Linked DNA regions of Sus scrofa. The protein of the gene in region 1 interacts with the protein of each later gene in a biochemical or structural test. Links are inferred from orthologs where the notes say so. Each region holds a gene or a part of one and is shown on either strand. Other genes may lie near its edges.

Region 1 (3,643 bases):
CTTCCATATGCCACGGGAAGCAGCCCTAGAAAAGGCAAAAAGACAAAATAAATAAATAAATAAATAAAGGATCTGGCATTGCCACAAGCTGCAGCATAGGCTGGTTGCAGATGTGGCTCAGATCTGGCATTGATTGCTGTAGCTGTGGTATAGGCCCACAGCTGCAGCTCTGATTCAACCCCTAGCCTGGAACTTCCATTTGTTGCAGGTGCAGCCATTTGAAAAAAAAAAAAAATCCTGCAGAGATACTAATCCTTGTCCTTCCTGGTCTCCAGGCAGGAAGCTGCACTGGGCAACGATGATTCCAAGGCTAACATGCTGTTCTTCCACTTCTTGGACCAACTGAACTATGACTGTGGCCGCTGTGGCCAGGACCCTGAGTGTTTGTTGCTACAGCACAACTTGCGAAAATTCTATCGGGACATTCAGGTACTTGGAGGAGCTGGGAATAACAAAATATGAATGGGAACTGAGCGTAGAGGAGTATGTTTTAGGGTATGGACCATGGAACAAGACCTGGAGGTTCAAAGGGCCAGGGAAAGATCTGGAGAAAAGGGGACAGAGTGTGGACTTGGCAGAGAGACGGGCAGAGTCTAGATGACCCTGTTCAGAAGAGGCTAGAATTTGGGACACCAGTGTTTCAAGGCTTGGGACCCTGAAGGAGGGCGAAATACTGAGGTCACTGGTGGGGAGGATCTGAGGTGGTAGTTCATTGCAGTTGAGTTAAATCAATCCTTTCTCTTCCCCTATTGGCAGGCCATTCCACAGGGCCCTACTCGGTTGGCTGAGATGATATTTAATCTTCTTTTGGAAGAAAAAAGAATTTTGATCCAGGCTCAGAGGGCTCAGTTGGTGAGAACAATTTGGTGGTGATGTTGAAAGCACTTGGATTAGAGAGGGACCATGCAAAGGACTCAGGAAATGTATCTCAGAACAAGATCCCTCCACATCCTATGGTATAATTTCAGGCTTGGATTTCAGGGGGGAAAGGACAGCATTGAAATGTGCTCAGAACCTCTTATTTCAGGAGCAACAAGAGCCAGCCCTTGAAGCACCTGGGGAGAACCAGCAGCATGAGATTGAGTCCCGGATCCTGGAATTAAGGGCTATGATGGAGGTTGGTAGATGTGGCAATAGCCAGGGTGGGCAGGACTCAGCCTGCCTCTTCCCACAGAAGCAGCCTCATCTGGGTTTCATCTCCTCTGCAGAAGCTGGTGAAATCCATCAGCCAGCTGAAAGACCAGCAGGATATCTTTTGCTTTCGATATAAGATCAAGGCCTCAGGTAGGAAGTACATTGAGGGGTGGGAATAAGGTGCCTACTGGGAGGCCAAGGATAGACTAGAGCAGAAGGGAAAAGCTCCAGTAAGCAATACTCACCTTTGGCTACATCTCAGTGGTTATGGTCCTGCTGCCATGCAAAGCGGGAAGTGCTAGGATATATTGCAGAGGTCAGGCTGGAGGTGTGGCTGAGCAACAGCTAGTGAATGTTGGAGGAGAGGCTTGGGAAACTGCCCTATCAGACTGAGTGGACTTCTGGTTCTAGCAAGACCATTCAGAATTCACCTGAAAGCCCAGAGGTGCCTGTGCGCTTTGCTTTCCCCTTCTTCTACCCCCCTCCTGACTCTCACTGAGGTCTGGGTTGGGAAGGAGCGGGGGAGGATCCCTAGATCTGAGTACTTGTCTCACTCCTGCTCCTGCCATCCAGCGAAGACACACTCTTTGGACCCCCATCGGACCAGACAGGAGCAAGTTCTACAGGAAACTCTCAATGAACTGGACAAAAGGAGAAAGGTGGGAAGCAGAGGACAGAAGGAGTGGGCAGCAGGAAACTGGGGAAAAGGAGGCATCTGGGAGCTCTTGTCTCCTAGCCCAGGCTTCTTTGTCTCTTCATCCTTAGTTGGTTGGTGGCGGGTGATGGTGAGAAGCTCTTGGTACTCACTTTACATCTTTCTAGGAGGTGCTGGATGCCTCCAAGGCACTGCTAGGCCGATTAACTACCCTAATCGAGCTATTGCTGCCCAAGTTGGAGGAGTGGAAAGTCCAGCAGCAGAAAGCCTGCATTGGAGCCCCCATGGATGGAGAGTTGGAGCAGCTGGAGAAGTGGTGAGAGGCACCTGCCCGCCGTCGCGTTCACCCAGCCCTAATTCCTAACTACCCCCCTGTGCTTTGTAGGATATAATGCCCTGTATATGACAAGAAGTATTGCCCTCCTTAATCTCTGCTTCCCAGAATGAACCCAGCTCCCTTATCTGACTGCAGCTCTGCTCTGCTCTTCATTCTCACCACCCAGGGAGCCCAGAGCCCAGTCTTTGCTTTGGGGAAAGCAATGAATTAATCCATAATCCAGTTTCTCCTTCCTGTTTAATCACCTGAGAAATATCTTTTTAACTTTTTTTTAGTGCAAATAATGCCAATTATTTTATTATTATTATTATTATTTATTATTATTATTATACCCAGAAAGTTTCTATAATATCATTAAACAAAAATTGGGACTTCTCTGGTGCCTCAGTGGGTTAAGGATCTGGCATTGTCACTGCTGTCATGTAGATTCACTCCGTGGCCCAGGAACTTCCACATGCTGTGGATGTGGCCAACAAAGAAAGAAAGAAGAAAAAACTGAATCATACTATTCATACTATTTTGAGACCTGTGGGTTTGTTTGTTTGTTTTATTTACCAGTATGCTATATTTACTTTTTTTTTCTTTGTCTTTTTGCCATTTCTTGGGCCGTTCCTGCAGCATATAGAGGTTCCCAGGCTAGGGGTCGAATCGGAGCTGTAGCCTCTGGCCTACGCCAGAGCCACAGCAACGCAGAATCCGAGCCACGTCTGCGACCTACACCACAGCTCACGGCAATGCTGGATCCTTAACCCACTGAGCAAGGCCAGGACCCGAACCTGCAACCTCATGGTTCCTAGTCAGATTTGTTAACCACTGCGCCACGATGGGAACTCCTGTTATATCTACTTTTAATGGCTGTATCATAGCTCCCTTCATGGAAGTAATATAATTTAATGAACTATGTTTGAATGCTTAGGTTGTTTTTATTTTTTTTTATTTTAACAATTTTATTCATTCATTCCTTTTTTTTTTTTTTTTTTTTTTTTTGCCACCTGCAGCACATGGAGTTCCCCAGGCTAGGGATCAGATCCAAGCCACAGTTGCAGCAATACCAGATCCTTAACCTCCTGTGCTGGGCGGGGGATAGAACCTGCATCCCAGTGATCCCAAGATGCCACTGATCCCATTTTCCCACAGTGGGAACTCCCATCCATTCATTTATTTATTTTTTGGCCACACCCACAGCTAGCATGCAACCAGGCCAGGGATCAGACCTGAGCCATAGCAGGGGCCCAAACTGCTACAGTGACAACACAGGATCCTTAACGCATTGCACTGCAGGGGAATTCCTAAGTTGTCTTTAATTTCTTGCTATTGTTTTCCAGTAAACTATTTTATATTAATTTTATTGTGACAGAAAAAATAACTAAAGTATCCTTCAGCATATTTGAAAGATAACTATTATTTAAATATTTTCTCATGAGAAAATTTATTATAATTTAAACTATTAAAAATGTAGGGGGTTCCCATTGTGGCACCTCGGAAACGAATCCAGCTGTATCCATGAGGATGCAGGT
Region 2 (4,191 bases), on another chromosome or scaffold:
CCCTATTGCATCAGGCTGGGGAACAAGGGCTCAGGAGTCCTGCGTCCTCCTCACTTCACGTGGAGGCCTTCGAATCTCGGCCCTGCCACTTCCTGCCTCAGTTTCCCCATCTGCACTCGCTCACGGGCGGACCCAAGAGCAGTCTGTAACCTGCAGAGGCCACGACACAACGCTGGCATCCGGCGGGGAGAAGCTGCCAGCCCTGGTCACCGAGAAGGGTCGCGGAGCAGGGGCGCGGGGAGCCGGGACTGGGCAGAGTCGCCTGCGGGACGGGCAGGCCCGGGCGGCGCCAACTCCGCGCCTGGGGGCCCGGCTTGCTGCCAGGCCGCAGCCAGACCCCTCGCCGCCCAGTCGCCGTCAGAACAAAAGTGGCGGCGGTGCCCGGCGCCCGGCGCCCCGCAGGCCCGGCCCCCGCCGGGCAGTCTAGCCGCCCCGCCACTCGGCCGCACGACGTACGGCAGCCGCGCCTTCGGCCCTTTCCGTCCGAACGCGCTCGGCTCTTTCCGCTGCGGCCGGCGCAGGTGGAGGGGGCGGGGCGGGGGCCGTGCGTGGTGACGCCGCGGGGGGGGGTGACGCACCGGCGTGCCCCGCCCCCTCCCCCTCCCCGTTCAGGCTCTGGAAAGAGAAGAAAAAAAACTTTCTTTTTTTTTTAATTGAGGAATCAACAGCCGCCATCTTGTCGCGGACCCGACCGGGGCTTCGAGCGCGATCTACTCGGCCCCGCCGGTCCCGGGCCCCACAACCGCCCGCGCACCCCGCTCCGCCCGGCCGGCCCGCTCCGCCTGGCCCTCGGCGCCCGCTCCGGCGGCCCCGCTCGCCTCTCGGCTCGGCCTCCCGGAGCCGCGGCGGCGGCGGCGGCGGCGGCGGCAGCGGCGGCGGCGGCGGCGGCGGAACGGGGGGTGGGGGGGCCGCGGCGGCGGCGGCGGCGGCGGCCCCGCTTCGCTCATTGTTTTTCCTCGCGGCGGCGGCGGCGGCGGCGGGCCGCGGGCAGGGAGCGGAGCCCGGAGCCCCCCGGTCGTCGGGCCGCGAGCGAATTAATTAAGTGGGGCGCGGGGGGGGAGCGAGGCGGCGGCGCGGCGGCGGCACCATGTTCCCGGGGACTGCCTGAGCCGCCCGGCCGGGCGCCGTCGCTGCCAGCCGGGCCCGGGGGGCCGCCGGGCCGCCGGGGCGCCCCCGCCGCGGAGTGTCGCGCTCGGGAGGCGGGCAGGGGATGAGGGGGCCGCGGCCGGCGGCGGCGGCGGCGGCGGCGGCCGGGGGCGGGCGGTGAGCGCTGCGGGGCGCTGTTGCTGTGGCTGAGATTTGGCCGCCGCCTCCCCCACCCGGCCCTGCGCCCTCCCTCTCCCTCGGCGCTCGCTCGCGACTCGCGGCTCGCGCTCGCTCTCCCCTCGCAGCCGGCCGGGGCCGGCGCCGACCCCCGCCCCGGAGCCCTCGCCGGCCCCGCCGCCCGCGCTCGGGGCTGTTTTCGCGAGCAGGTGAAAATGGCCGAGAACTTGCTGGACGGACCGCCCAACCCCAAACGAGCCAAACTCAGCTCGCCCGGCTTCTCTGCGAATGACAGCACAGGTGAGTAGGGGGCCGGGCGGGAACAGGGGCCCCGGGGGTCGCTGACAGCCCTGCCCGGAGGTGAGTGCCCCCGGGGGACCCGAACTCGAGGGCGGGCGTGCGGGGCCCTTTCCCCGGGACCCCGGCCGCGGAGGGGGAAGTTTGTCGGAAGACTGCCTGGGGCCCGAGTGGGGCGGCACATGCCCGGTGCGCTCGCATAGCCCGGAGTTGGCGAGCCCTCCTCGCGTGGAGCCCGAGTGGTACTTCCAGGGGGGAAAAGTAAAGCGGAGCGTGTTTGTTCTGCGTGGTGAGTCCCTTTGCCACCCTCTGCCGCCGTGGGTCGACACACGCGTGGCTGTTTGAAGGGATGACAGCGGAGGGTGCGTTTGCCAGTGAGGGAAGGAAAGCGTGCAGCCCAAAGGGGACCCGAAATGTTTTCTGAATTGGTAGCACATTCACAAGGCAACCAGAAGACACGCAGAGCTGCAGCCAGCCTCTTGAGTTACGACTTAGAAGTTTTTTGGAATGTGCTGCTTGGGAAAAATGCTTAGTAGTTACTTTGAAAACTCTTGTTGTTGGTCTCCTGAGCTATCCCATTTTTCACAGCCCCAAACTTCGGAAGACGTCCTAAGTGGGGTGTTTAATTTCAAGACTGTAACTTCGGAAGAAAGTTAAATAGCAGATTGATCCGGGCTGCAATCTGCAAGTGAGCTTGTGTTGCTTTTACAGTGAAGATGTAAGAAGAAAAAATATGTTAAGGAATGGGGGAATTACAGTCTTCCTCCCTAGTTTTTTCGGTAGGATACTGAATAAATTCACTGTTTTAAACATCTTCCCTGGAAACTTTCTTAGGTGATCACATCAATTACCTAAGGGAAGTGTTTTAGTTTTCTATTCATTTATAGTTTTAGGTTCTTCTGGGCTGGTTCATGGTAGCGTTATGAACTAGTTGTATTTCCTCTTTCAGAGCTCTCCTTTGCGTTAAAAACTTGTGCGCTTCGGTGAACGATTTGATCCCCAGCGCAGCTTGCATTTCTCCACTGTGATCTTGCAGTAGCAGCATCTGTAAATCAGTTTATAATGAATGGGTCAGAATTGAATTATATTGCTGCAGCAGTGCCTTCAGATTTGCAGTAGACACAGCTGTTCAGCTTGTGCAAACATTTCTGTGACTGACCACTAGCGTTTTTCTGCTAGTGGTCTAAAAATCTATTGCTATTGTTGGAACAAAACTTGAGTTTTGTGGCTGCAGTTTTACTACAATTCCTAGACTATTTTTTAATGTAGAATTGAGAGAAAGTGTAAAAAAAAAATCATGAGATTCTTGTCTAGTTGAAATGAAATTTGTTGAAACAGTTGGAGAAGAGTCAGTTAAGTCTCATGGTGTATAAAAGTCACCAATAATACTCTTCTTTAAAAAAAAAAAACTGATGAAGTGTTGTGTTTGATGTTAATTTTGTAAAATCAGCTTATCTGAAATGAGAAATGTGAGAACAACCATGATTTCAATGCTCTGATTTTACTGCATTTAAAAAACTCTGATTTTACTGCAGAATAGCTCATCTTGGCTCCATTAATCTTGGCATGTTTGAGTGAAAAATCTTTAATCATATGAAATATAGATCATACTGGACAAGTTTGCTTTGAAGCTTGTCCTCTGAAACGTAACTTTTGAATGGCTTTGCAGCTTTGCTGTTGTTGATTGAGGTTATTTTAGACTTTGCTTTTTATACAGAGGGACAAGGGAGTTACGTGAGACGTAGCAGAAAGGCTTGTCCCACTGTAAACTTGTACCTCTTTTCAAGATGGCACCCAAAGGACTGGCTCTTGGGGCACTTCTGTTATTGGATGGTCAGATATCTACTTAATGTGTGGCTGATCACAGTAAAATTTATCAGAAAGGGTGGATTTTGACCACTTTTTTCCCTTTCTAATTTTGATCCTTTTGAGGCACTGGAGCTCTTTTGCTTTTCCAAATGTGGAACAAAAAAGTCAGTTTTAACAGCTCTGTTTAAATAATCCAAAGAATAAATTCACCTTTATATGTGTGTCGGGTCCTTGGTGGCGCGTTCGGCACCATCATGTCCCTGTGAGAGGGTCTCTTAGTGTCAGGGCCTTGGAAGGGCCCTCACTGAGCACATGAAGCAAGGTACAGCCTTGTCTCCCGTAACTGCTGGTCTGAAGCAGGGCTTAAGGATGTCTGTCAAGGCAAAGCAAGGACTAAAGGGATTAGATTACACGCAGTCAAAGGATCGAAGGCATTTTGTTAAATGGAAACATGGGGAGAGACCTGAGAATAACATTCTCGAGAGACTCAGCCTCATTTAAATGAGGAGATATGGGTTTGTGGCTTCTAGGATAGAATTGGACCGGGCAGGAGTTCCCGTCGTGGCGCAGTGGTTAACGAATCCAACTAGGAACCATGAGGTTGCGGATTCGGTCCCTGCCCTTGCTCAGTAGGTTGACGATCCGGCATTGCCGTGAGCTGTGGTGTAGGTCGCAGACGCGGCTCGGATCCCGAGTTGCTCTGGCTCTGGTGTAGGCCGGCGGCTGCAGCTCCAATTAGACCCCTAGCCTGGGAACCTCCATATGCCGCAGAAGTGGCCCAAAGAAATAGCAAAAAGAAAAAAAAAAAAAAAGAATTGGACC
Region 3 (4,181 bases), on another chromosome or scaffold:
AACTATATGAATGGAAACTTCATCCAATACTTCTATGCAGACAATTGGTTGCTTCTAACCTTTCACAGGCATATTGATGACCAAAAATGATTTACTATGTTTTTAAGCCTGACATAAATCCCAACACATATATTCATACGAATATAAGTTTCCTCCCATCTTCTGGATAGTTTTCTTAGATGAGGATCCCAGAACTGAATGTACTAAGTTTAAAAGTATGAATATTTTGATGGCTTTGAAAAACAAAGTAACATTATGATCTCAAGGTAGAGTTAACATTTCATTTAGTTTTGAACATTACTTTTCCTTTGAGAAAAAAGTCGATTAGGATTTCCCGTCGTGGCTCAGTGGTTAACAAATCTGACTAGGAACCATGAGGTTGCGGGTTCGATCCCTGGCCTTGCTCAGTGGGTTAAGGATCCCGCGTTGCTGTGGCTGTGGTGTAGGCCAGTGGCTACAGCTCCGATTGGACCCCTAGCCTGGGAACCTCCATATGCCACGGGAGCGGCCCAAGAAATGGCAAAAAAGACCAAAAAAAAAAAAAAAAAAAGTCGATTAGTTAATTCAAAGATAACTGAGCCCTTAACATATAGGTGGATAATCAAATCATGCGACCTTTAGAAAAAAGTCTAGCCTTAGGCTCCAGGGCTTTGAGGCCAGAGTCTCAGGGTTGGATTTCCCCCTACATCACGGGCTAGCTGTATGGCTTCAGTCTGCTCATCTGTAAAACGAGGATAATAGTGACTAGCTTTGTTCTGAAAGCTGAACGAGGTCATATCTTTAAAGCACTGAGAACAGCGGCTGGCACATAGTGAAGAGGGCCATGAATGGCAGTTGCGTATGAAGTTTATTTCTGCTCTCCTCTAATCTGGATTAGAACTATGATCTTAATGAATGTCCTCCTGGAATGTAAATTTTACAGGAAAATTCTGGGGAAATTTTTTTTTTTTTTTTTTTTTTGTCGTTTGTCTTTTTAGGGCCGCACTTGCACATATGGAGGTTCCCAGGCCAAGGGTCGAATCAGAGCTGTAGCTGCCAGCCTACGTCACAGCTCACGACCATGCCAGATCTCCAAGCCCCTGAGCAAGGTCAGGGATCGAACCTGTGTCCTCCTCCTGGGTGCTAGTCTGACTCGTTTCCGCTGAGCCATGACAGGAACTCTGGGAAATTCTTTTTAATACAAAGGCAAACGTGAGTTCCATGCAAAATCTTCATGAACAAAAGACTCTGAAGAAATTACCAGGGGTTATACCAAGACCCTAGTACCCATATACTATACTATATGCTGTATTTGTGGAAGAGTTTATGAAAGAGAATAAAGGAAACCTTATTTATTTATTTATTTACTGTTATTTGAGGGCCACACCTGCGGCATATGGAAGTTCCCAGGCTAGGGGTCAAACTGGTGCTGCAGCTGCTGGCCTATACCAGAGCCACAGCAATGCCAGATCCGAGCCACATCTGCAACCCACACCACAGCTCATGGCAATGCCGGATCCTTAACCCACTGGACAAGGCTAGGGATCACACCCGCATCCTCTTGGATACTAGCTGCGTTCACAACTGCTGAGCCACAAGGGAACTCCAGGTAACCTCATTTAAAATGAAGTCAGAAGGCCAGAACCTGGGAGTCTTCAGGCACTTGCCCTCACCATCAACTACAGCAGCCAGCCATAACGTCAATCAATGTCAATTACATCCCTCGGCAGGAGGAACTGTCCTCTCCCTAACAAGCCCGGCCAACGGGAAACGCCAAACTCTCCTCAACCCTTGCTTTCATCCAATGAACTTTGCTCAAAACAACCCCACTGGACTTCCTCCTTTTTCTCTGTAAAGTAACATTCTTCTTTTTTTTGGTTGTTGGAATTGCGTATGATTTTTGCTATAGCTTGCTTGTCCCAAACTGCCATTCCTCTGCTTATTCTGGAAGAAACTCATTGTGATGGTAAAATAACTGCCCGTTTTATTTTTTAGGACAAGATCGGATACCATGTACCCCAGAAAATCAGGGTCTGGTTTTCTAAGCAGTTAAGTATTTTCAAGTCCTCCAGGTGGCCTCACCAACCCCTGGACTCCTGCTCTCGTTTGCCAGGCCCTGTTTGTGTGTGGGTCCTCCTCCTCCTACAAAGTCAACCTTATCACAGCTGCATTCCCCCACCCAACCCAGCTAAGCCAAGAAAGACAGCAAACGAGCCTGGTGACTCCCAGCCTTTGCATTTTGGCTGTGTACTTTTTCTTTTATTATTACTTTTTTATTAGACTGTACGAACCCTGAGGGCAGAGAAATCCTCCCACGTAGGACCAATTAACTATTTACTAAGTGGAGGAAACGCGTTTCAAGATCGGCAGCATAGCTCATGGCTAAAGCCTTTATTATTATTTAACGGTCCAGTCGAGCTACCGGATTTTTCGGAAAGAAAGAGACTTCACCCCAAGGATCAGGCACACCCAACCCTGCGGGGGTGGGAATCCAAGGAGCAGGCACAGGGCAGAAGTGATGGCAAGGAGGACGCCCCCAAAGGAGCGGTGTGGAAAGATCTCTGACGTCACTTCTTTGTCGAAATGTGAGCCCTGAAACTAGAGGCCTCCCAGAGGGGATGTCTGTCTCTCCCACCCACTTCCCCTGGCCGAGGTCTCCCATGCCGCCGCCATCCAGCCTCGCGCCCTGCCCCCCACCTGCGCCGGGACCCCTAATTCTCACCTGCGGGCAACACCCACGGAGCCCCAGCGACCAGCATCAGGGTCGTCGCACCCAGAAACCCGAGCATCGTCCGCGGGCGGCCGCCGGCCCTTCCAATCACGTCTTCGGCCACATCAGGAAGCGCGGCGCAAGGGAAACTTGGGTGCACAGGCCACCCCCGGACCTGGGACCCGTGCGGCCCTGTCCCCTCGCGCCGCTCGCGCCCCGCCCCTCCACAGTCGCCCCGCCCCACGCTCATCACCCCCCGCCATCGACTCCCGCGCACGCGCCGTGCCTTCTGCGCGTGCCACCGTCCGCGCACGCGCGTGGGACGGCAGGGGCCGCCCAGACTCCACCGCCTGCCCCCCGCCCCCTTTCCGGAAAGTGACAGCTCACTTGCTGTCCACCCTCGCTTTCCGGGAAGACTGCGCGTAACTCGAGGGCTTGACCCTGGCAGGAACGCGGAGATTCGCCAGTGCGCCTGCGCAAATTTCGAGGCGGGTGTTTCCTCCCAACCCCCTCGCTAATTGCAGCCGGCGGGCAACCTCTGCGCTCTCTGCTCGCACCCTACTGTGCCCGGTCTCGGACTCCGGAGTCTGGCAAAGCGGTGTTGGGGCGGATTTGGTCCTAAGGGAGGAAGCAGTGGGGAGAGTTTCCGAGCGGGCCAGGCCATTTCCTTTGTTCTGAGCGCTGTGAGCAAAGTGCAGGCGCCTCCGAGTGAAGCCGAGACGCGTTGATCTTGGCCTGGGGCGCAAGGGCCTCTTTGAGAAGATGGTGACGGCTTCTGGGCTTTGGGGGTGGTGTCCAGAACAACGCTCTCCAAGCTCTTTTGATCTTCTGCCCTTATCAGTAAAAGGTTTGAGTCCATCATTCAAACGGTTATTTAAGCACCTTAATAATCAATTATGTATCTTATAAAAATTCGCAAAAAGGGAGTTCCCGGCCTGGCGCAGCAAAAACGAATCCGACTAGGAACCATGAGGTTGCGGGTTTAATCCTTGGCCTCGCTCAGGGGGTTAAGGGTCTGACATTGCCGTGAGCTGTGGTGTAGGTCACAGACACTGCTTGGATCTGGCGTTGCTGTGGCTGTGGCTAGGCCGGCAGCTGCGGCTCCCATTCGACCCCCAGCTTGGGAACCTCCATAAGCCGTGGGTGGGGCCCTAAAAATAAAAAGCAAATATAAATAAATAAACTGTTTAAAAAATTAAAAATACTCAAAAGGGAAAATATAAAGGGTGAAAGATGAAATAAGCAAATGCTTAGCTGTTAATTACAACTAAACAATTTAATTATAAATTGTAAGGTTAAATGAGTATTTGTAGAGAACTATGGGCTTGAATATTGCCTTATAAAAACTTTGAGGTATAATTTACATACTGTGAAATTCATCCATTTTAAGTGAACAATGACTTTAGTAAATTTATCCAGTTTTGGGGCCTCATTTTTAAAAACATTGGATTATTATTTTGTGACTCATCAATTTTCAGGTTTGATTCTCAGT

The links. The genes of interacting proteins can lie anywhere in the genome.
Region 2: the proteins of STAT2 (region 1) and CREBBP form a complex in vitro, tested with the Homo sapiens proteins (2 studies listed by BioGRID). The link is inferred for Sus scrofa from reciprocal best matches to the Homo sapiens genes STAT2 and CREBBP.
Region 3: the proteins of STAT2 (region 1) and IFNAR1 form a complex in vitro, tested with the Homo sapiens proteins (2 studies listed by BioGRID). The link is inferred for Sus scrofa from reciprocal best matches to the Homo sapiens genes STAT2 and IFNAR1.

Annotation. Positions count from the first base shown.
Region 1 is NC_010447.5:21,742,320-21,745,962, reverse strand, and holds part of STAT2 (signal transducer and activator of transcription 2), read left to right. Parts: intron 1-275; coding exon 276-429; intron 430-756; coding exon 757-852; intron 853-1,027; coding exon 1,028-1,117; intron 1,118-1,208; coding exon 1,209-1,284; intron 1,285-1,707; coding exon 1,708-1,793; intron 1,794-1,956; coding exon 1,957-2,105; intron 2,106-3,643. UniProt on the Homo sapiens protein: Signal transducer and activator of transcription that mediates signaling by type I interferons (IFN-alpha and IFN-beta).
Region 2 is NC_010445.4:38,387,090-38,391,280, forward strand, and holds the start of CREBBP (CREB-binding protein), read left to right. Parts: upstream 1-1,276; 5' UTR 1,277-1,478; coding exon 1,479-1,563; intron 1,564-4,191. UniProt on the Homo sapiens protein: Acetylates histones, giving a specific tag for transcriptional activation. Mediates acetylation of histone H3 at 'Lys-18' and 'Lys-27' (H3K18ac and H3K27ac, respectively).
Region 3 is NC_010455.5:196,924,465-196,928,645, reverse strand, and holds the start of IFNAR1 (interferon alpha/beta receptor 1), read right to left. Parts: upstream 2,916-4,181; 5' UTR 2,769-2,915; coding exon of another isoform or gene 2,702-2,768; intron 1-2,701. UniProt on the Homo sapiens protein: Together with IFNAR2, forms the heterodimeric receptor for type I interferons (including interferons alpha, beta, epsilon, omega and kappa).